Linked DNA regions of Stegostoma tigrinum. The protein of the gene in region 3 purifies or fractionates together with the protein of the main gene of each other region. This does not show direct contact. Links are inferred from orthologs where the notes say so. Each region holds a gene or a part of one and is shown on either strand. Other genes may lie near its edges. The genes, in order: coatomer subunit delta, copg2 and copb2.

Region 1 (8,072 bases), on a different chromosome or scaffold from region 3:
TCATCAACTTTGGGCTTCTTGCTGAAGACTTTTGGCTATGAAGGACTATGAGACATCCCGAAGACCTGAAAATGCAACATAAATACAAGACGTTTCTTTCCAATCAGCCAGGGCAGCCGGTCCACAAACTGCAGTCCCAGGCAACTTACCTGAACAATCTGGTAATTTACTTCTATTTGCACCTCAAAAAAAACTTGCACATTTTTCCTCTATTGAGCCTACAATTTCAGTCAGTTTATAGTTTTCCCAATGGCAACGTGTTAAAATTCAAATCACCTGGCATTCACATTTCAAGCGTATGCAAAATTAAGTAAATCTTTGCATCCACATGACGCAAATAAATAGCAAGTGGTTGAGACACTGAGTTAGACTGATAAATGCAACAGCAAGTCTCTTAACATTACTAATATTATATCAGGCTTGTGAAACACTGGCTCACTGTCACACGGCCTACACCTCCATCCTAAACACTACCTCCAAGCCACTGTGGCAGAAATCACAATGGGACCATATGGCCCATCAAACCTGCTGTACCATTCAATAATGTCATGACCGATTTTCAACCTCCACTTTCTCACATTGTCCACATGTTCCCTGATTCCCTTAGGGCTGCAAAGTCTAATGAAATTAATTTGAGCATAATGACTGAGCATTTTTATCCTTCCATGGTGCTGACAGCCTTTACATCTTAGAACATGGAATAGTACAGGCCCTTTGGTCCACCATGTGTATGGTGACCAGATGCCATTCTAAACTAATTCCATCTGCCTGCAAATGGTCTACATTTATCTATTCCTTGTCTGAATGTCTGTTAAACATTGGTATCATAACTGTTCCTACCACCTCCCATGACAGTGTCTGTCAGACTGCCCCAATACTCTAGTAAAAACAATACAAGTTGACCCAACCTCTCCATATAGCCAATACACCGCAATCCAGGCACTGCCCTCATAAATTAACATTTTGCTCAATTGCTTTTATAAATCCATGAGAAATTGTTTTGGCTGACCATCCTAACTGCCCTTCAGTGGTAATGCCTTCTTGATCAGTTGCAGTCCATGTGGTTGTGACCTAGAGGGAGACAGTTCCAGGATTGACCCATTAACAGTAAATGGCCTGTAATTAATCTTGGTTAGCCACAGAAACATGGTGCAGATTTGCAACGACCTGAAATCATAACCAATTCCAACCATGACTAATTCTATGATTATTACACATTCACAAAAACACTTTATACAGTACAGGTCAATAACATCGAACAAAGCACCAGCGGCTGTTCATTCCATAGCTATGGCTTTGGCCAATTGCTGTCTTGTCCAAGGTAAGTTTACTCAGTAAAAACGTGGGATCAAACTGGAAATTCTACATTCTATATCACAGCAAGTCTGCTACACACAAAAGCCCAGAGAGCTGGGAGTGCGTTTCAAGAAAACGGATAACATTTGACAAGCTTTAAATTTCCGTTTAACAGAAGTACATCACCAACACGTAGCTTTCTAAAACTTAACACACCATCTGCATGCCTTTGTGGTAAATAGCTACACAACAGCCACGTAGGAACCCCAATTTCTGAACCAATATAGGTGTTAAGTGTGAGTTATGATTGAGTTCCAAACAGCAACATTGTTGCATCTTTCAGAACTGAAAAGGCAGAATTGCAGCCTGAGCCATTTTAAGATCAAAACTGTAACTTTTAATCAACACAAGTATTGAAATGACATGCAAGTTATAAGATTTCACACAAGTTTCACAAAAACTGATCACATTACCAAAGATTTAGATTTTTTTTAGTTGATAAGGAGATGGAACCCCAAGTTTAATTTTCCCTGAGCAGTACTGGACCATCAAAAAGATATTTATAACAGAAAACTACTATGAAGACAGTGAGGCCCATATAGCTCAGTGATAGCAATTCAAAAACTCAAAGTTCACCTACTGTACCTTAGACTTACTCAACTTCGATGAGTAAGTAAACAAGCGTAGAGGTAAAGTGTCCATAATGCTGTCTTTTGAAAAAAAAAGTCCATTTTAAGACATAATTTGAATTATTCTCAAACAACATCACAAGGTGAGCTAGTAATACTTCAGTCCTGGACTGTTGCATACGAAGTGATGATGTGTCACATCAATATGGTGAAAAAATGCAACAGGCCATCCCTACACCAAACAGGAAGGGGTATGAAACAGACTTAATGAGAAAGGAGCAAAAAGGTAAACGGTTGAAATTAGACACTGCTGGAAATACTGAAACTACTGTTTTTAATCATGTGAAAAGGCTCTAAGGGTTTCCAAATAAGACCTTAACTCTTAGACTGCCTAACAATGAAATTGTTCCATTTATTTATAGTCACCCCAGGATCACGAAATTGAGCATTTTGATGGAAAATGGTAAACGTGCAGAAGTTTTTACAAATGAAAAGTCATAGTTAAGCCACTCCTAAAAGCAGTCTGACTTTATGGGTTGCAAGGAGCTATGTCGCATTAGTTTCAATGCTAATTAAGACCCACGAACAACGTTTAGCAACAGTGGAGAGAGATAGGAAGATGAAGGGTGTAAACCCGAAACGTCGACATTCCTGCTCCTCTGATGCTGCCTGGGCGGCTGTGGTCCTCCAGCTCCACAATATATTTAACAACAATGTCCTTCTTTAAAAGGGGAAGAGGCCAGTTCTGTTCTGTATTTAATGCAGTTTCGCTGTGATATCAGCCACGCCACCGTTTAAAGGCCAGTGCCGGGGTTAATTCAGTAAGATGACCCGTGAAACGGGTTGCTCAGTGCAACGGGGGCCGATACAGAACGGGACTGAGTTCTCAGGAAAGCTCTTTGTGGGCACTGCGGCCTACCCTGGGCAGGCCCAGCCTGACAGCCAGAAGTGGAGCACGGCTAAAGCCACGAAGCCTCGCGCTTTCTTACCATCTTCGCGTCCACCGGAGGCCTCTCCTTCGGCCGGCTGCTGTCGTTGCTACACCTGTGAGGAGATCGTCGCCAAGTAGCGGCGAGTGGACGGTGCACAGTCAAACCGAACCTGCGGCGATCCCAGCGCCGGCAAGATGGCGGCGGCGGCCACGTCTCCAACCGGAAGTGAGGGACCCGTTCGGGTCAAAGGGTAGCAACACCTCCCCATTCATGAAATCCCAGACTGTATCCCTAAGAATTATATACCATTTACCCTGTATCCCCAAAAATATATACCATTGGCACTGTTGCCCCTTAATATATACCATTTACCCTGTATACCCACAAATATACACCACTGAGACTATGTTCCCATAATGTAAACCATTCACTCTGTATCCCCAACAAATATACACTATTCACTCTGCATCCCCACGAATTATGTACCATTCTCACTGTATCCTCAACAATATATACATTCACACTGTATCCCCAAGAATTATATACTATTCACTCTGTATCCCCAATAACATATACCATTGACATTATCTCCAATAATCTATACCATTCATTCTGTATCCCCAAGAATTGTTTTGTTTTATTCATTCACAGAATGAGTGCATTGCTGGCTAGGCAGCATTTATTGCCCATCCCTAATCACCCAAAGCACCATTAAGAGTCAATCACATTGCTGTAGGTCTGGAGTCACCAGTAGACCAGGCCAGGTAGTTTCCTACCCTAAAGAACATTAGTGAACCAAATAAGTGTTTCCAACAATCAACAGTGGATTCACGGCCATGATTAGATTCTTAATTCCAGATATTTTTATTGAATTCAAATTCCACCATGGAAGGATTTGAACCCAAGTCCCCAGAACATTATGTGGGTCTCTGGATTAACAGTCCAGTGATAATACCACTAGGCCATTGCCTCCCATTATATACCATTCATTTTGCTTCCTCAAGAATTATATACCATTTTCACTGTATCCCCAATAATATATGATTCACTCTTTATCCCCAAGAATTCAATGCCATACACTCCATACCACCAATATATATCATTCACACTGTATCCCCAAGAATTATATCCCATTCACTCTGTATCCCAAAGAATTAGACACCATTCATTCTGTGTCCTTGAGAATTATATATCATTCACACTGTATCCCAAAGAATTAGATACCATTCATGCTGTATCCCTAGTAATTCAATACCGTTCACACTGTGTCCTGAGGAATTATGTACCATTAACTTTGTATCCCCAAGAATTATCTACCATTCACACTCTATCCACCAAAATATAATGCCATTCACATGATCTCCCCAATTATTACATATAATCAACTCAGTATCCCCAATAATTAAATAGCATTCACAATGTATTCCCAATAATTCAATGCCAGATGTAATGTAACATTAATTAAATATGATTCATACTGTAGCACTGTAATCCCAATACTTCAAGGAGGTTTATCAGGATGCTGCCTGGACTGGAGGGCTTGTCTTACGAGGAGAGGTTGACTGAGCTCGCACTTTTCTCTCTGGAGAGAAGGAGGAAGAGAGGTGACCTGATCGAGGTGTACAAGGCAATGAGAGGCATGGATAGAGTCGATAGCCAGAGACTTTTCCCCAGGGCAGGATTGACTGCCACGAGGAGTCATATTTTAAGGTGTTAGGAGGAAGGTATAGAGGAGACGTCAGAGGGAGGTTCTTCACCCAGAGAGTTGTGAGCGCATGGAATAGTTTGCCAGTGGTAGTCGTGGAAGCAGAGTCATTAGTGACATTTAAGCGACTGCTGGACATGCACATGGACAGCAGTGAATTGAGGGGAATGTAGGTTAGGTTATTTTAGTTTTGGACTAGGATTATTCCATGGCACAACATCATGGGCTGAAAGGCCTGTACTGTGCTGATCTTTTCTATGTTCTATATTCTATTAATACTGTATCCACAAAAATTACATAACTATCATGTGTCCCAGTGATTCAATATGGTTCACAGTATTCCCAGTGATTAAAAAGCATTCACACTTAATCCTAAATAATTATATACCATTCACACTGTTTCCCCAATTATTACATACTATTGATCTGTATCCCCAATAATGCAATGCCATTCACATTGTAACACTGTAGCTCCAATAATTAAATACCATTCACTCTGAACTACTGCATCCCCAGTAATTAAATACCATTCACCCTGCAGCATTGATTCTCTCTGAACTTCTGGGTGGTGGGGTTTGCACAATTCTAATGTAACCGGAACACCAGAGTGTGTTCTGCAGACATTGGCTTAAATCCAAACATGGCAAGTATAAATATTTTAATTCATGGAAATCTGGATGAAAAACCAGTCTTATGATGACCAGGTAACCATTGTTGATGGCTATTAAAGTCCACCTGGTTCAGTAATCTTATTTAGGAAAGGAAATCTGCCATCCTAACCTGGCCTACCCTATATATGATATCAGAACCACAGCAACGCAGCTGACTTTTAACTGACCTCGCGGTGATTATGGATGAGTTATAAATGAATGCTTAGCCAGTGATGCCAGCTTTTCCTGAATGAATTCTGTTTTAAGTATACAAAAGTATACTTATATATAAAAGTATAATTGTGATGCATGTGATTGACAAGCAACTATTTAATTGTCCTAACCATGAGTCAGATTTTGGGGAATATTCACCCCACTGAAAGTTCAAACAAAACTAAGTAAACTTTGTGATATTTTCATTCTGGTTTTAAAACATTAAATTAATTCCTTTATCAATGCAAAAATTGGATCTTAAAAGTGCATAGGAAATGCACATGGTGAAGTAAATGCATTGAAACATTATACAATATTCCATGAAGTTTCCAATATGTGGCTTTGTAATTTATTGTTGAAATGAAAAGCTTTATCGAAATGGGAAAACTGAAATTTAAAAGAAAACAGCAAACTCACCGTCAAATCAAAAGCATCAACATCACAATAAACCTCATGAAAGTTTGTGACATGTATGTATTTCTGGTTCAATATCAAAATAAAATCCTTTGACAATGGTGCAAATTTAAATGATTTTTGACAAAAGCTGGAATTTACATTGCCAGGTCAATAGCCTGGAAAGGAAGGCCAATATCCTTGCATTCACAACCAGATATAATCCACAATAAAAACAGAAAATATCAAACTGAATTTGAAAGTTAACAGTTAACTTTGAGTGTAAGGTAAGTTCTGCTGTGCCCAAATTGTTATTCATCCTCTGGGAGCTGGATAGCTCATCTGACTTGTAGGTATGATATTCCTATTGGCTTAAATAAACAGCAATACACAAACAGGCCATTTGGCTCAGCCAGTCAGTGTGGAGGTTTATTATTATGATACAAGTAGCATCCCTCCATGTGCTCATTCTGTTTCCCCTATCCTGTTTTTTATTCCCTTGCCCTTCAGCCACGAAATTAAGCAATTCTTGACATACTCTCCGCTTCAACCCCTACATTTGGTAGTACATTCCACAGGTTCGTAAAGCTCTACCTAAAAACGCGTCCTACTGCTCTCATCCTTAACTGTTTTTTGTTCCCTCAGTCTAGATCTCTCATGACTGGAAATAAATCTTTCTTTAATTTTGCAAAATCTGCTAGATTCAGGTATATCCCATTAGTTTGAAAGATAATGAATGTAGCTCCTTTATTCAACCAAAAAGAATGGAAACAGATGCAGGAAACTGCAAGCAAGTTTGGTTAACATTTGTCATAGGGAAAATGTTTGGACTTATTATCAAACAGCAGTGCGTTTAGAACAATTCAAGATTATCACACAGAGTCGACATGGTCTTGAGAAAGAGAAAGAGAAATGATGTTTATTGGAGTTCTTTGAATAGGGTAAGGCGAGGTGATGGCCTAGTGGTATTATGACTGGACTGTTAATCCAGAGACGCAGGTAATGTCCTGAGGACCTGGATTTGAATCTTGCCACAGCAGATGGTGGAATTTGAATTCTCCAAACATCTGGAAGTAAGAGTCTAATGATGACCATGAATCCATTGTCTACTGTCAGGAATAACACATCTTGTTCACGAATGTCCCTTAGGGAAGGAAACTGCCATCCTTCCATTGACTCCATCTACACTTCCCATTGCATTGGGAAAGCAGTTAACATAATCAAAGACCCCTCCCACCCTGGTTATACTCTCTCCCAACCCCTTCCATTGGGCAGAATCATAGAATCCTAGAATCATAGAATCCCTACAGTGTGGAAACAGGCCCTTTAGCCCAACAAGTCAACACCAAACCTCAAAACATCCCACTCAGACCCATCCCCCTATAACCCACCTAATCTACACACCCCTGCACGCTATAGGCAATTTAGCATGGCCAATCCACCAAACCTGCACATCTTTTGGACTGTGGGAGGAAACCAGAGCACCCGGAGGAAACCCCCACAGACACAGGGAGAATGTGTAAACTCCACGCAGACAGTCGCCTGAGGGTGGAATCGAACCCGGGTCCCTGGTGCTGTGAGGCTGCAGTACTAAAGTTTGAAAACATGTACCAACATATTCAAGAACAGCTTCTTCCCTCCTAGAGTTATCAGACTTTTGAATGGACCTCTCATATATTAGAGTTGACTTTTGCACCTTCTCTGTCCTATTACCCTGGTGTACTTATATAAGATATGATTTGCCTGGTGAGTAGACAAAACAAGACTTACCACTGTATCTTGGTACATATGACAATAATAAATCAAATCTTAACTGCCTCACTGTGAATGAGGAGATTTATATCACTGTCATTTTTATCCATGCCAGTTCTTTGTTGGATTAATCCAAACAGATCTCAACACTCTGATCTCCCCGCATAACCTGCGATCTGCAGCTTCAAATATTTGTCTATGTTTCCTTTAAAAGATTCAATAGCTGTTTCCACTATCCACTGGGACTGTTTTCTGGGACAGCATGTTCTATATGTAATGAAAATGATTACTGATGTTGACAAAGTAAGTTCACAATGAGCTGAATAAACAACAAATTTGATTTTTGCGCTAAATTACAAAGAAAATTTCCAATTCTTCAACCAGGTGCTGGTATTTATCTGAAAAACTGAAACAAGGAAATTAAAGCTTGATGTAAAAGTATATCTCACGACTAGCAATCACTTGTGAATGAAATTCAGTGTCGCTGGTCACAGGCTCTGTG
Region 2 (7,167 bases), on a different chromosome or scaffold from region 3:
TTTTTTAATTAACCACGGATGCTGGATCTTCCTCTTAAACTTTATTTCTCATTGGAATGCATCTATTGTGAATACAGAAATATCCCCTTAATGTCAGCCACAGTATCCCTAGTGACCTATGGTATCAATGTGGACTTCGAGCTTCAAAATCTCCCCTTCCCCCACCGCATCCCTAAGCCAGCCCAGTTCGTCCCCTCCCCCCACTGCACCACACAACCAGCCCAGCTCTTCCCCTCCACCCACTGCATCCCAAAACCAGTCCAACCTGTCTCTGCCTCCCTAACCTGTTCTTCCTCTCACCCATCCCTTCCTCCCACCCCAAGCCGCACCCCCATCTCCTACCTACTAACCTCATCCCACCTCCTTGACCTGTCCGTCTTCCCTGGACTGACCTATCCCCTCCCTACCTATCTTCTTTTCTCTCCATCTTCGGTCCGCCTCCCCCTCTCTCCCTATTTATTCCAGAACCCTCACCCCATCCCCCTCTCTGAAGAAGGGTCTAGGCCCGAAATGTCAGCTTTTGTGCTCCTGAGATGCTGCTTGGCCTGCCGTGTTCATCCAGCCTCACATTTTATTATCTTGGATTCTCCAACATCTGCAGTTCCCATAATGTAACTTGCCAGTTCACTTTAGCTAGCTCTGCTTTCACGTCCTTATTTAAATTTAAACGCTTATCTCAAACTGAAACTTACTGCAAAGACTGTAGCATACTCATAATTGGGCTATTTGTCCTTCTCGATGGTAAAGATCATGGGCTGAGAAAAAGCTTGGAAACATTCAAGTGCATGCAAGGCCAGTGCCATACAGCAATGCAGTTTAAGAGCCAAGCACTGGTATGTTTCTCACTGAATGAGCAACCAAACATCAATTTTAGTAACTTGAAGTTATGTTACTGTTTAACTTAGTAGAACATCTTGAGGTGCTTCATAATAACATTCTCAAGCAAACTGCGAGTGAGTACCATCTATACAAATATTATCAGATGACCAAAGATTTGGTCAGAAGTCACATGACACCAAGTTATAGACCAACCGGTTTATTTAAAAATCGCAAGCTTTTGGAGTGCTGCTCCTTCACAGCTGACTTCACCTGACAAGGCCAACATCAGCACCTCCACATAATCACCAAAAATTTGAGAGAGATAAGCAATAAGTTTTAGTGAGGGAGTTTCGGAGTTTCAGGGCTAGTGCCCAGGGCAGGTGAAAGCACAACTGGCAAAAGCTTTTTCTTTACATGTTCATGGGATGTGGTTGTCACTGGCAAGGACAGCATTTGATGCCAATATGTAATTGCTTTGGAAAAGTCATGGTGGTGAACATCCTTGTTGAACTGCTGCAGTCCATTTCTTCTATGGAGTATGGAATTGCAAGATTTTGTCTGGCAACAATGAATGAAAGATGGCACATCTCTAATTCAAGAAACTGTGATCTGGAGTGGAATATGCAGGCAGTCGAAATTCTAATATGCTTGTTCTAGTTGGTAGCAGTCAAGAGTTTAGGAGGTGCTATCTAAGAAGCCTTAGTGGGTTGCTGCAATGTATCCCAATGAAGATAGATGCTACAGTTGATGGAAACAGTGAATGTTTAAGAGTGTGGATGGGGTTTCAATCATACTTATCCCAAATGGTGTGGATTATTATCAATATTGTTGGTACTGCATTCATTCTGGAATGCACATTCCTGAGTTGGCCGTGTAGATAGTAGAAAGATTTCAAGAAGTCAGGAAGTGAGTTGCTCATTGCAGAATATCTGATCAACCTGTTCTCAGAGCCATAGTATTTATGTGACTGAGACCATTGAATCTTTGGTTAAAGGTGCCATTTGGGAATTTAGCAATGACAATGCCATTGAATTTCAAATGGAGGTTATTAGATTCTCACTTGTTGATGATGGTCATTGCCTGGCACAAATGTTACATGCCACTAAGCAGGCCAAGTCTGACTACTGTCCAGGTCATGCTGTGTATGGTGTACATAGTTATCTGAGGCATCACAATGACCAGTGGAAGGGATGAATTGGAAGCAGGAGAACACAGCATTAGTGGAGGTATATCTTTGGTGTTATTCAGACTGGAGATACTAGAGCAGAGGTATGACCGATCAGAAGCAGTGATCAAATGCACTATGGAAACACCAAATATTGTTAAAGCTCAAGTGGAATTTGCTATTTAAACACTGAAGAGCGGCATGTTAAGATATACGACAGCGTCTAAGACGCATTATTGGGGGACAAAAAGAAGGATAATAAATTGTGCCTGGCAGCCATCCCAGGGCACTGGATTTTTCAGTTGCTACAATGTAGTGGTTACTGTCCTAACCACTACCTTATCAGCACACTGGCTAGACAATCACCAGTACCCGCCCCGAATCTATACAAATCCGTTTAGTTTCAATCTGCTATCGCCTGCAGTGCGCCATTGATCGTACTCTCTCATGACACCGATCAGTTAAAACTCTCGACAATAAAGATGGTCAATAGCAGCAGCTCACTGTCCCATGTATTACTCTCACATGCCTCTCCGTATAATAAGCAGAAAAGGTATCCGAGGGTAAATGTTTAAACTGTTCCCACCGTAGCCTGACCCACACACAGACCCCTTTCTCCCGCGGTAAACCCGAGCGGGGTCGGCGGCTTCTACTGACCAGCCCTCGGGCGCGGACAGGGCCCGCAGCCTGACTCCCACAGACAACGAGGTCATTTACAGCGAGAGTAAAGAATTAACGGCTGAACGGTAACTCTGCGTCCAGAACAAAATCACTAACCCAACTCCTCATCTTTTTTATCGAATTTCTTCAACATTTTTACAGCATCGAATCCAGAAGCCGTCGTCAGGGAGACAGCACCTGACCACACCCTCCCACTCCGATTGACAGTAATAGGGCGTGCCCACATCACTAACCGCTCTCAAAACAGCTCCCATAAAAAATTTCGCTCACGACCAGCATCCTTTATTTCTTTTCTCACGCTGCTGAGGATTTCCAGCATTTTCTGCTTTTTATTTTGGATTACCAGGCATTCCCCTCGCAATGACTGACGGCTCATTTCACCAGAGGCCCGCCCCTCGCAATGACTGACAGCTCAGCATCCCAGAGACACGCCCCTCACAGTGACTGCTCAATATTTGTTTACAGTTGTTTACAAGAGATGATTTGGAGTTGGGGACTAAGTATGGTGTGTCGAAATTTGTAGATGACACTAAGGTGAGTGGTAGAGCAAAGCGTGCTGAAGACACTGAAAGTCTGCAGAGGGATATAGATAATCTGAGTGGGCAAAGGTCTGGCAGGTGGAGGACAATGTTGATAAGTGTGAGGTCATCCATTTTGGTAGGAATAACAGCAAAATGGATTATGTTTTAAATGTAAAAAATTGCAGCACGCTGCGTGGCAAATGGACTTAAGTGTCCTTGTGCATGAATCGCTAAAAGTAGGATTGCAGGTGCAGCAGGTAGTTAAAAAGGCAAATAGAATTTTGTCTGCCATTGCTAAAGGGATGGAGTTTAAAAACAGGGAGGCTATGTGCAGTTGTATAGAGTCCTGGTGAGGCCACACCTGGAGTACTGTGTGCAGTTTTGGTCACCTTAATTGAGAAGAGATATACCAGCACTGGAGGGGGTGCAGACGAGATTCATTCAGTTGGTTCCAGAATTGAGAAGGTTGGATTATGAGGAGAGACTGAGTAGGCTGGGATTATACTCATTGGAATTCAGAAGAATGAGGTGAGATCTTATAGAAACATATAAGATTATGAAGGGAATAGATAAGGTAGAGGCAGCGAGGTTGTTTCCGCTAGCGGGTGAAACTAGGACTAGAGGGCATCCCCTCAGAATAAAGGGAAGCAGATGTAGCACTGAGGTCAGGTGGAACTTCTTCACCCAAAAGGTTGTGAATCTGTGGAATTCCCCGCCCAGTGAAGCGGTTGAAGCTACCTCGCTGAATGTTTCTAAGGCAAGACTAGATAAATTTTTGAACAGTGAAAGAATTAAGGGTTATGGTGAGTGGGCGGGTACGTGGAGCTGAGTCTCAAAAACATCAGCCATGATCTTATTAAATGGTGGGGCAGGCTCAAGGAGCCAGATGACCTATTCCTGGTCCTAGTTCTTATGTTCTTAATACCACAGAGCCCCACCTCTCACAATGACTGACAGCTCCGTTCCCCATCGCCCAGACCCTCACAATGACTAACAGCTCAGTATACCAGAGCCCCGCCCCTCACAACGATTGACAGCTCATCACTCCAGAGCCGAACCCCTCACAATGATTGACTGCTCATTATCCTAGAGCCCAATCCCTCACAATGACTGACAGCTTATTACCCCAGAGCTCAGCCCCTCACAATGACTGTTCTGAGGAAGGATCACTGGACCCGAAACATTAACTCTGTTTGTTTCTCCTTCACAGGTGCAGCCAGACCTGCTGAGCTCTTCCAGCAACTTTATTTTTATTCTGCACAACATCTGACTGCTCATTACCTCAGAGTCCCTCCCCTCACAATCGCAGCCCACTCATTACCTCAGACCCCTGCCCCTCACAATGACTGACAGCCTATTATCCCACAGCCCTGCCACCCCTCAAATTGACAGACTGCTCAAAACCTACAGAGGCTCACCATCCTCATTTGCTAACATTTCAACATGTAACAAAGTGTGGAGCTGGATGAACACAGCAGGCCAAGCAGCATCTCAGGAGCACAAAAGCTAACGATTTGGGCCCATTCCCTTCATCAGAAAAGAGGGATGGGGAAGGGGTTCTGAAATAAATAGGGAGAGAGGGGGAGGCAGATTGAAGATGGATAGAGGAGAAGATAGGTGGAGAGGAGAGTATAGGTGGGGAGGGGATAGGTCAGTCCGGGGAGGACAGGCAGGTCATTGGGGCGGGATGAGGTAACCTGTTCTTACTTTCACCCATCCCCTCCTCCCACCTCAAGCTGCACCTCCATTTCCTACCTACTAACCTCATCCTGCCCTCTTGACCTGTCCATCCTCCCCGGACTGACCTATCCCCTCCCTACCTCCCCACCTATACTCTCCTCTCCACCTATCTTCTCCTCCATTCATCTTCAATCTGCCTCCCTCTCTCTCCCTATTTATTTCTGAACCCTCTCACCATCCCCCTTTTTTGATGAAGGGTCTAGGCCCGAAATATCAGCTTTTGTGCTCCTGTGATGCTCCTTGGCCTGCTGTGTTCATCCAGCTCCTGAAACGTCAGCTTTTGTGCTCCTAAGATGCAGCTTGGCCTGTTGTGTTCATCCAGCTCCACACTTTGTTATCTCGGATTCTCCAGGATCTGCAGTTCCCATTATTTCTGTATACAATAGAGCCCCATGTATCGGATTAGCTGGTAGCTTAATATACATGGACCCCTGCCTTTCAGAGCGAATAACAGGAGTAGGCCATTCAGCCCCTCAAACCTGTACTGCCTTTCAATAAGTTCATGGCTGATCTGTGACCTAATGCCTTATGTTTGCCAGAGGGTGTACGTATTCCTTGATATTGTACTTAATAAAAAATTGACCAGCTCAGATTTATGATTTATTGTCATGTGTATTTTACAGTGAAAATACAGTAAAATACAGTGAAAAGCTTTTCCTCTGTCACAATGATCTGGCGCCATTTTGAAAAATGTTCAGTATAAGAAAGAAATAGAAAGATATAGCTTAAAGAGAGTCCATCAGTCGTAAGCCATCATCCAAGACACCTGCATCACCATCCCTCCCCCGCTGCATCAACGCCATCTGCCCTGGACCCAACCAACGTTGAAGTCGCCACTCTTCAGGCCCCATCTTATGCCGCTGGGCTGATTCTCCTCTGCCAGTGCCTCACCGCCACCTCCACCAGACCTGCTACCATCGCTGGGCCCACCTGGACAATGTTGCTGTGATACCCTTCTGCCATGGCTTCACTGCCAGCAGCGCTGGACCCACCAATAAAGAAGTTGTCAATCCTCAGACACCATCTTTCGCTGCTATGCCTATCTCACCAACGTCATCACCAATCTAGCAGCTGTTGATATCAATGCCAAGCCCTGTGCTTACCCTGGAAAAGTAAAAATATATTCCATATATGAAAATTTAAAATTGAAGTCCAATTCTCTTCTCAGTTCTAAAGAGTCTTCCCTACTCTCTCAACCCGTGCCCTCAATGCTAGTCTCTCCCACTAGTGGAAACATCTTCCCAACATCCACTCACTCCAGGCCTCTCCGTATTCTTTAAGTTTCAGTGTGATTTAAAAAAACACAACAAAAGAGAAGTAAGGCACAGGAACAGGCCTTTCGGCCCTCCAAGCCTGTGCCGATCATCATCCCCTGACTAAACTAAAATACAAACCTTCTGCTCTTATTCAGTCCGTATCCCTCCTTCATATAACCATTCAGATGCCTCTTAAATGTTGCCAACGTGCCTGCTTCCACCACCTCTCTGGCAGTGCATTCCAGGCTCCTAGCACTCTCTGCATGAAAAACGTATCTCGCACATCTCCCTTAAATGTTTTCCCACTCACCTTGAACCTGTGCCCCTTTGTAACTGAAACTTTAACCCTGGGAAAAAATAGTCTCTGGCTGTCCACCCTATCTATATCTCTATAATTTTGCAAACCTCTATCAGGTCCCTCCTCAGCTGCCGTCTTTGCAGTGAAAACAATCCTAGCCTTTTTGGTCTTTCCTCGTAGCTAATGCCCTGGAGACCAGGCAACATCCTGGTGAATCTTCTCTGCACTCTCTCCAAAGCTTGAGATAGGCATAGCAGCAAAACATGGTGTCTAAGGATTGACAACTTCTTTATTGGTTGGGTCCAGTGCTGCTGGCAGTGAAGCTGCGGCGGAAGGGCGTCACAGCAAAATTGTCCAGGTGGGCCCAGCGATGGTAGCGGTCCTTCTGGTAATGTGGCAACCAAAACTGCACACAATACTCCTCCTTCCAAACTCTATTGGGTACAGACGCACAGTCCTTAACCGTGCCTCATATGACAAGCCCTTCCTCCCCAGGATCATTCTGGCCGAGAGGTAAGGACATTACCACTACACTACAAGTATCCCTATGAGACGGACAGTATTCTGTCATACCTGGACTTGTGCCTTATGGATGATGGACAGGTTTTCAGGAGTCAGGAGGTAAGTTATTTGATGCAGAATCTCAGCCTTTAATGTGCTCTTACAGCCACAGAAATTAAAGCGGAA
Region 3 (7,254 bases):
CAGTGTTAAATACTTCAAGTCAAGCCCTTGTGAGACTCTGTTAAAGATGTATTAACCTATTAACTACATTAGAATAATTTGTGGTCATGAAAGGTCCATAAATTTGTAAACAACATTCCTATCTTTATACAGAATTGTCATGGCAGACTGTTACCAGACAAGTTCATAAAACTTAACATTACAACAGCCGATCACGTTCCCCGTGCACATTCATACACAATGAGCCACTCACACATGATAGCAAATGGACATTACCTTCTATTGAGCCATATGGAGCAAGTCATTACATTCAAGAGAGGGAAAAACAAAATAAACATTTCAGCAAAACAGTATTTCTACTAACAATGGTTTAAATCCACCATTAATCCATTCAATCCTACGGCATTTGAATTTCTAAGCAACTACTTCCAATTCCCTACATACACTCAAAGAAAAACGTGAGATATGGAATTTTATCATGCCATAGTCACTAAAATTAAAAACATCTTGCAAGTTTAACAATCAACTTGTATCATAACTTTAACACTCCAGTTCATTATTTGACAGTAGTCGGCGAAGGGCGCCAATTCAATGTCAAGGAGTTTTTGACATGAATCAATGCCAAGAAATTTGATATTCCTCATGTCTAATTAATAGAAATTGCAACTCCTAAGACTACATGTCAGATAAACAGTCTGACAGCACAATAGAGAAGTCTTGAATAATGGTGTCACAGGCAGCACGTGAATGAGAATGTGAATGACACATCTTTAGGACTCCAGAGGGAATGACACAGAAACACAGCAATCATTTCCCAAGAATGCTCTACAATTTGACAGGCAACAAAGGAAACAATAGCTAGAGATGGAGACCAGAGAGAACAGCAGCATTGGGGCAGACAACAGAATGGATGATGGTCAGCCAAGGGGTGGCATGGTGGCTCAATGGTGAGTACTGCTGCCTCACAGTGCCAGGTTCAATTCTTGCATCAGGAGAACGTGCATGGAGTTTGCACATTCTTCCTGTGTCTGTGTGGGTTTCCTCTGGGTGCTCCAGTCTTCTCCCCAGTCCAAAGATGTGCAGATTAGGTGGATTGGTCATGCTAAATTGTCCAAAGTGTCCAGGGATGCGTGGGCTAGCTGGATTAGACATGGTAAGTGCAGGGTTAAAGGGATTGGGGAGGGTTCTCAATGGCACGCTCTTTGGAGGGTCAGTGTGGACTTAATGCGCTGAATGGCCTGTTTCCATACTGTCACAATTCTACAAGTCTCAGTTTTATGAGAAAAGAAAAGCTGCTAATGGGGACCGTTAGTGCCTGAAAAAAGATTGGCTGTGGTGAAAGCTGCCCATGTGATGACACAGCCTGGTATGCAGGGGCAGGGAGTGGGGTTGGTGGTGTCGGACATGGACAATGTTCAGACTCTAAAAATGACTCCAAGCTTCAGGTTGCCTACCACTTCAATATGTCACGCTGTGTTCCCCAGTTGACATTTCAGAGTTCAGCCTGCTGTCTTGCACCAGCAAATCTCAGCAAAGGTAGAAGAACAGCATCTCATTTTCTGTTTGGAGACTCTGTAGCCTTTAGGTCTCAAAATAGAGTCCTGTCTTCAATGCACATACCAACCTTTTCCTAGCTAAAATCCATTTCAAAGAAGGGTCGCCAGACCCAAAACACTGACGCTACTTTCTCTCCTCAGATGCTGCAAGACACAGAGATTCTCCAGCTAATGCTGTTTTTGTATACCAGACAGATTATCAGATCAGCCATTTCATTTAAGGGCAGAGCAAACTTGACGGGCCCAATGGCCCACATCTGTTCCCACTGATCACATGGCAGTATGCATCAACCTAATTTAAATGCTCTCTTACAACTCATGCAGGGTCATCACATTGCAGGAATTCACTATTTGCAAAATTGTTTTTTAAGTACACAAATCTTAAGTACACAACTTTTGATGTGGAAGCAGAAATGAGTGGTGGTCAACAAAAACTTGATCTGTCTACTTCAATCTCACATCAAAAAGTGATTAATGACTTTTTATGTAAACAACAGTCATGTTCAAATCAGTCTATTCCTCCACAGCTTACAATTCTTGAATGCAGGTTAATCCAGCCTAAAAATGGTGAAACTCATTAGGTATAACAGCAACAGAAACAGGTTGTGTCCTAGACAATTCATCTTCTTAACACTGTTTATAGATACACTTCGACCTCATTTCTGCGTTACAACAGCCTCAAACCTTCAACTATGTACCTACTCAGGAATTCAGTTCTCACTAGCGGTGGATTCAATGGCTAGAAGTTATAACGACTTAAATGTCTAATAGGATACAAACACGCCTAAATTAAAACATAGTAAAATGTGAGGCTGGATGAACACAGCAGGCCAAGCAGCATCTCAGGAGCAGCTCCTGAGATGCTGCTTGGCCTGCTGTGTTCATCCAGCCTCACATTTTATTATCTTGGAATCTCCAGCATCTGCAGTTCCCATTATCTCTAAATTAAAACATAATTTACTTACTAACCCCTGACGGCCCTGTTCACAGCACGGGCCTCAAAACGGTGAGCAATAAGAGGAGTTCTGATTTCTCTCCTCAGATCCTAGCAGACTTGCTGATTGTTTCCAGTGTTTTTTTTAACTTCATATCCCAGCCTCCGCAGTATTTGGGTTTAACTACAGAACAAGAGGCCGGGCAGATGCAGTCCCTTCCAGCCTACACCTTCCTCTCGCTGCCTTAGAGCTTGGCCCTCGTATCAGCACCATATACATACAGATGGCCTTCACACACCGGGGACCCTCCGCGGCTGTACTTAGGGCCTGTGGGGCAGGGCACTTTGTGGTTGACATAACAGGGACGAGACTTCCAGCAGCCACAACCTCCTGCACCCACAGTCAGGCTCAGGCTCCCTACCCGCTCGCCAGCCACTGCTAGTCAACAACCGCGTACCCACCATCGCTGCAGCACCTCAGCCTGCGCCCACACCCAGGCCCGGCCGGACTGATGGCTCCTCTGACGTGGAGCTTCCTCCTCAGCCACGAAACACGGGATTTCCGCAACGTTCGCGAGAGACGCCGCTCCAATCAGACGCAGCGCCCCATCCCCTAGACGGTCCTCCGAACGGTGCGCCCCCTCCGCTTAGGAGGATCTCAGCACTCAATGCCCGCGTCGGCGCGGAAGACGCCAGCCCACAACACCGCCGTCCGCGAGGAGGCCCACAGGTCACAGCGCCCCCTGCGGTAGGAGGTCCTCAACACATAGCGCACACCGCCCCTCGGCCCATAGCGCCCCCTGTGGTAGGAGGGTCCCAGCACACCGCCCACTCCTGTCGCGGGCCTGCGAATACACAACGCCTCCTGCCGTTGGAGGACCTCAGCGCACACACACACACACACACACACACACCCTTCTCCGGTTGGGGGAACTGCGGACACAGCGCTCGTTTTGAGACCCGACGTTCATGTGTGTCGACATCCAATGTTAGCCAGCCTTTCCAGACCATTATGGCACATCTCTAATCCACTCACACATTGTTCTGCATTGCCATGCTGCACTTTGGAGCACACCAGCATCTAGTATTGCAGTACTGTGGGTGTGACACTTGGCGGGCAGGGTCAGGTGCCCGGGTTCACAGACTGGACCATTTCAGAGCTGCTTGCTTGTTCTCTTGGCACTTACCCTTTTTTGTGCATTCCTGGATTCTCACAGAACCCCTGCTTTACCCTTCTTTCACTGTATTTTCCGGACCGAGTGAACAAGATATATCTGTTCTGAGGAACGGTCACCGGACCCGAAACGTTATCTCTGTTTTCACCTCCACAGATGCTGCCAGACCTGCTGAGCTTTATCAGCCACTTTGTCTTTGTTGCTGTTGATGATGATGTCTGTTAAGAGATTTGTTCAAGAAAGATAGCTCCACTTGTGGAAAGATGATCACCAATGTGTTCCATATTCTCAAGCAGGTTCTAACAATAAAGTGTTACTATTGCAATACAATGACCCAATGAAAAGATACAACACGCAAAGGCTTCAATATGTGTCTTTTGCAAGATGATACAGCTATTGTTTTTCATTCTGAAAGCCTGTCATCTCTGCAAGCCAATTATTCCAATAAAGAACATAAGACATTAAGCCTGCTAATTGGCATTCTGTGGTTTCACTCATATTTAACTGGCAAAAAGTTCACTGTTGAAAGATCATAAGCCATTGTAAATGATCTGCTGAAAATTGCTAATAAGTGCACCACAGCCATTCAAGCATCTACTTGTCAAGGTGTAAGGATGTGACTTTGAAGTGAATTATGGGTCTGACATGCTGTGCAGATTATCCAACCCACATAAAGACTAAGCTATACCTCTTGACTTTCACATTGATGCTTTAGACTGTGAGATTGAAGTGGTCTCAAGATTGAACTCTTTCACTTTGACCAGGACCAGGGTGAAACTGCAACAGACATGTCAAAATTAACAAATATTGTAAAACACTGTTGTCGCGGGATTGGCTAACAGTGTTAAAGATATGCGCGGTAGGATTTGTTCATTTTGACAGTATAGAGATGGACTTGGTTTATCACAACAACTCATTTCAAATGCATAATGGTTCTAACTCTGAAAGCATTACATCAAGATACTTCCATGTTACACCAGGGGCATACAGCTACTGAACGTACCTTCCCAATTAATGTATATAAGCCAGTGATGAATCAGGATATTCAATGACTATGTGAGGGATGCCAAATAAATCAACCCCAGCAGCACAGGAATGTTTACATCCACACAATTTTTCATCCATTCCTTAGGCAAAAATATCACCAGAATTGGTCATAGTGCATGGGGAATATCACGTTCTTCAGACTAACTACTTTTCCAAATTTCCTATTATTTGGAAACCTTAGAAACACAACTAATGTGACAGCTGTTGACTCGTGGAGCAATACTTTCTGATGGCTGACATTTACAGGTCTTTGATTTTATTTAAGCATTACTTCCAGTTTATTCTGTATCTTGAAATGGATAGTGTCTGACAATGGACTGCAGTTACAAAAACAGAAATTGTTGAAAAATCTCAGCAAGTTTGGCAGCATCTGTAGAAAGAAATCAGAGTTAACGTTTCAAAGCTCTGAAGGAGGATTATTGAACCTGAAATGTTAACTTTGATTTCTGTCCATAGGTGCTGCCAGGCCTGGTGAGATTTGGTAGCACTTTCTGTTCTCATATTTTAGATTTCCAGCGTCCACAGTTCTTTATTTTGTCGACTATCGTTCCCTGACAAATCAAGGGATATGTATAAAGTGGATCATGACTCATATCACACTGTCACTCTATTATTCATATTCTAACAGTGTAACAGAACACAATCAAATCCATTATCAATAAGTGTCACACAACAAAGAGAGATTTGTGAATTGTGTTACTACATTTTCCTGAAACATCAGTGGGGAATGGTTTACCTTACCCAGAAGAACTTATGTTCAAAGATACATTGGAACAGCCTTGTCCAGCAACCAAACATCTAAGCATTTTGAGGCATAGACATTTTTATTTTCAAAAACAGAATAGAATGAAAGAGATACGTGATGAGTTATCAGGCATAGAAATACCAAATAAAAACTGAAAGAACTGTGGATGCTATAAGTCAAGATCAAAAGTAAAGTTTCTGAAGAAGGTCAGCAGGTCTGACAACATCTGTGAAGGGAAACACAGAGTTAACGTTCTGAGTTCCCAGTTCTGAGGAATGGTCACCGGGTCCAAACGTTAACTCTGTTTTTCCCTTCACCGATGTTGCCAGACCGACTGAGCTTCTCCAGCAACTTTGTTTTGTTGTGATAGAAATGTCAAAACTGAGCAAAGAATATGGGTTAGAAATACAGCAAACATGCCACCAGCCCAGATAATACCTGATATTTCCTGAGCATGGTGATAAATTATGAAGGAATAGCAACGAACTCAGACAAACATGCAACACCCTAGTCATGCTGGAGGAAACGGAGACAATGCACTCAGGGAAGTTACTGATTGTGTGGTGATGTTGAGTGACAACAACCAGCAGAATATTCAGGATGTGAATTATACACATTGTGTTCCTCAGTTGTATTTCAACCAAAAAAGTGCAAATGAACAGGGTTCATCATTTTGTCTGCATCAAGCAAGATGTCGGATATATTTAACAAAAAAGAATGTGGAAGCTTGTATTCCCCAGGAGCCCAGGCTTCTTAAAGTGCCAGCAGCGCAGGCAAAATCTTTCTTCTGAACTGACAGTAAATCATGTCTCAAAGGTATTTACACCACAGGCACAATTGTGAAACGGTGCCAATAAACACTGTGAGTTCCAACTTTTATCCTTAGTCTTGATAACCTCCAATTCCTTGTTAGGAAATAGTCTGAATTAATCTTTTTAATTGTATTATTCAACCAAGTCCAGTGAATGAATTCTTTTCTTTTCAAGCCTGAAGTTGGTAAAAGATCTTGGATTTTTTTGAAATGATGCACATTTTCAAATCAGTATATCCTCAACCATGTATAAAGTTATGAGGAAACAAGTCAGCCAGATCCCTTGAGTAAGGAAATAACGAGTTTGCTTTGTTAATTAAAAATAAACACTTAGGTTTAAAGTGTAAACATTACTAAAACCTGCAACATATACACACAAGCATCCAAGTAAATGAACCAAATTAAAGAGTGGATGATGTGGATTGGAAAAATGTAAAAGCCATAATTATAAAGAAACTGTTTCTTTCAAACTGTAGTCAAAGTTTTCCCCAGAGTGGATGCTATGGCACTCGAAGTTTCTTAGAGCATTAAATTCCCCATAATGGAGCCAATTCATGGGCACTGAAGGCCTTACAACCTCCCATTGTCACAGCTATCAGTGTAATGCTTTTTATGAGACTTTCCCTTGTTTCTGCTATTCCTTCAGACGAGATGTTAGTTGCTTGTTATCATTTTCAACTATGTTAATATAAAACAGCTCCTCAATAACATTATTTAGTTTTGGAGTAGATTTGTAGGTGTGGGTGTTGAGGTTGGTTGGTTCGCTGAGCTGATTTGTTGTTCCGCAGATGTTTCATTACCGTGCTGGGTAACATCCTCAGTGCAGCCTCTGATGAAGCGTCGGTGTGTTTTGCCGCCTGGTTTTTAAACTCTGGGGTCTGTTGCAATGGATCGCCTCACTTCTGGGTTTCCTCCATAGTGGAATGTATATGGGATGTAGTTCAATGTGTTCCATGGACTGCCTATCTCCGGACTCATAGCAGAAGCAGTGATGCAAAGACTGGAAA

What was found.
Region 1: the proteins of copb2 (region 3) and coatomer subunit delta fractionate together in Homo sapiens (co-fractionation; 5 studies listed by BioGRID and IntAct, with this or other methods). This does not show direct contact. The link is inferred for Stegostoma tigrinum from reciprocal best matches to the Homo sapiens genes COPB2 and ARCN1.
Region 2: the proteins of copb2 (region 3) and copg2 fractionate together in Homo sapiens (co-fractionation; 4 studies listed by BioGRID and IntAct, with this or other methods). This does not show direct contact. The link is inferred for Stegostoma tigrinum from reciprocal best matches to the Homo sapiens genes COPB2 and COPG2.

Annotation. Positions count from the first base shown.
Region 1 is NC_081385.1:4,853,479-4,861,550, reverse strand, and holds the start of coatomer subunit delta, read right to left. Parts: upstream 3,073-8,072; 5' UTR 2,918-3,072; coding exon 2,915-2,917; intron 1-2,914. UniProt on the Homo sapiens protein: Component of the coatomer, a cytosolic protein complex that binds to dilysine motifs and reversibly associates with Golgi non-clathrin-coated vesicles, which further mediate biosynthetic protein transport from the ER, via the Golgi up to the trans Golgi network.
Region 2 is NC_081378.1:15,783,125-15,790,291, reverse strand, and holds the start of copg2 (coatomer subunit gamma-2), read right to left. Parts: upstream 3,050-7,167; 5' UTR 2,945-3,049; coding exon 2,899-2,944; intron 2,891-2,898; exon of another isoform or gene 2,799-2,890; coding exon of another isoform or gene 2,762-2,798; intron 1-2,761. UniProt on the Homo sapiens protein: The coatomer is a cytosolic protein complex that binds to dilysine motifs and reversibly associates with Golgi non-clathrin-coated vesicles, which further mediate biosynthetic protein transport from the ER, via the Golgi up to the trans Golgi network.
Region 3 is NC_081367.1:20,776,982-20,784,235, reverse strand, and holds the start of copb2 (coatomer subunit beta'), read right to left. Parts: upstream 3,065-7,254; 5' UTR 2,935-3,064; coding exon 2,932-2,934; intron 1-2,931. UniProt on the Homo sapiens protein: The coatomer is a cytosolic protein complex that binds to dilysine motifs and reversibly associates with Golgi non-clathrin-coated vesicles, which further mediate biosynthetic protein transport from the ER, via the Golgi up to the trans Golgi network.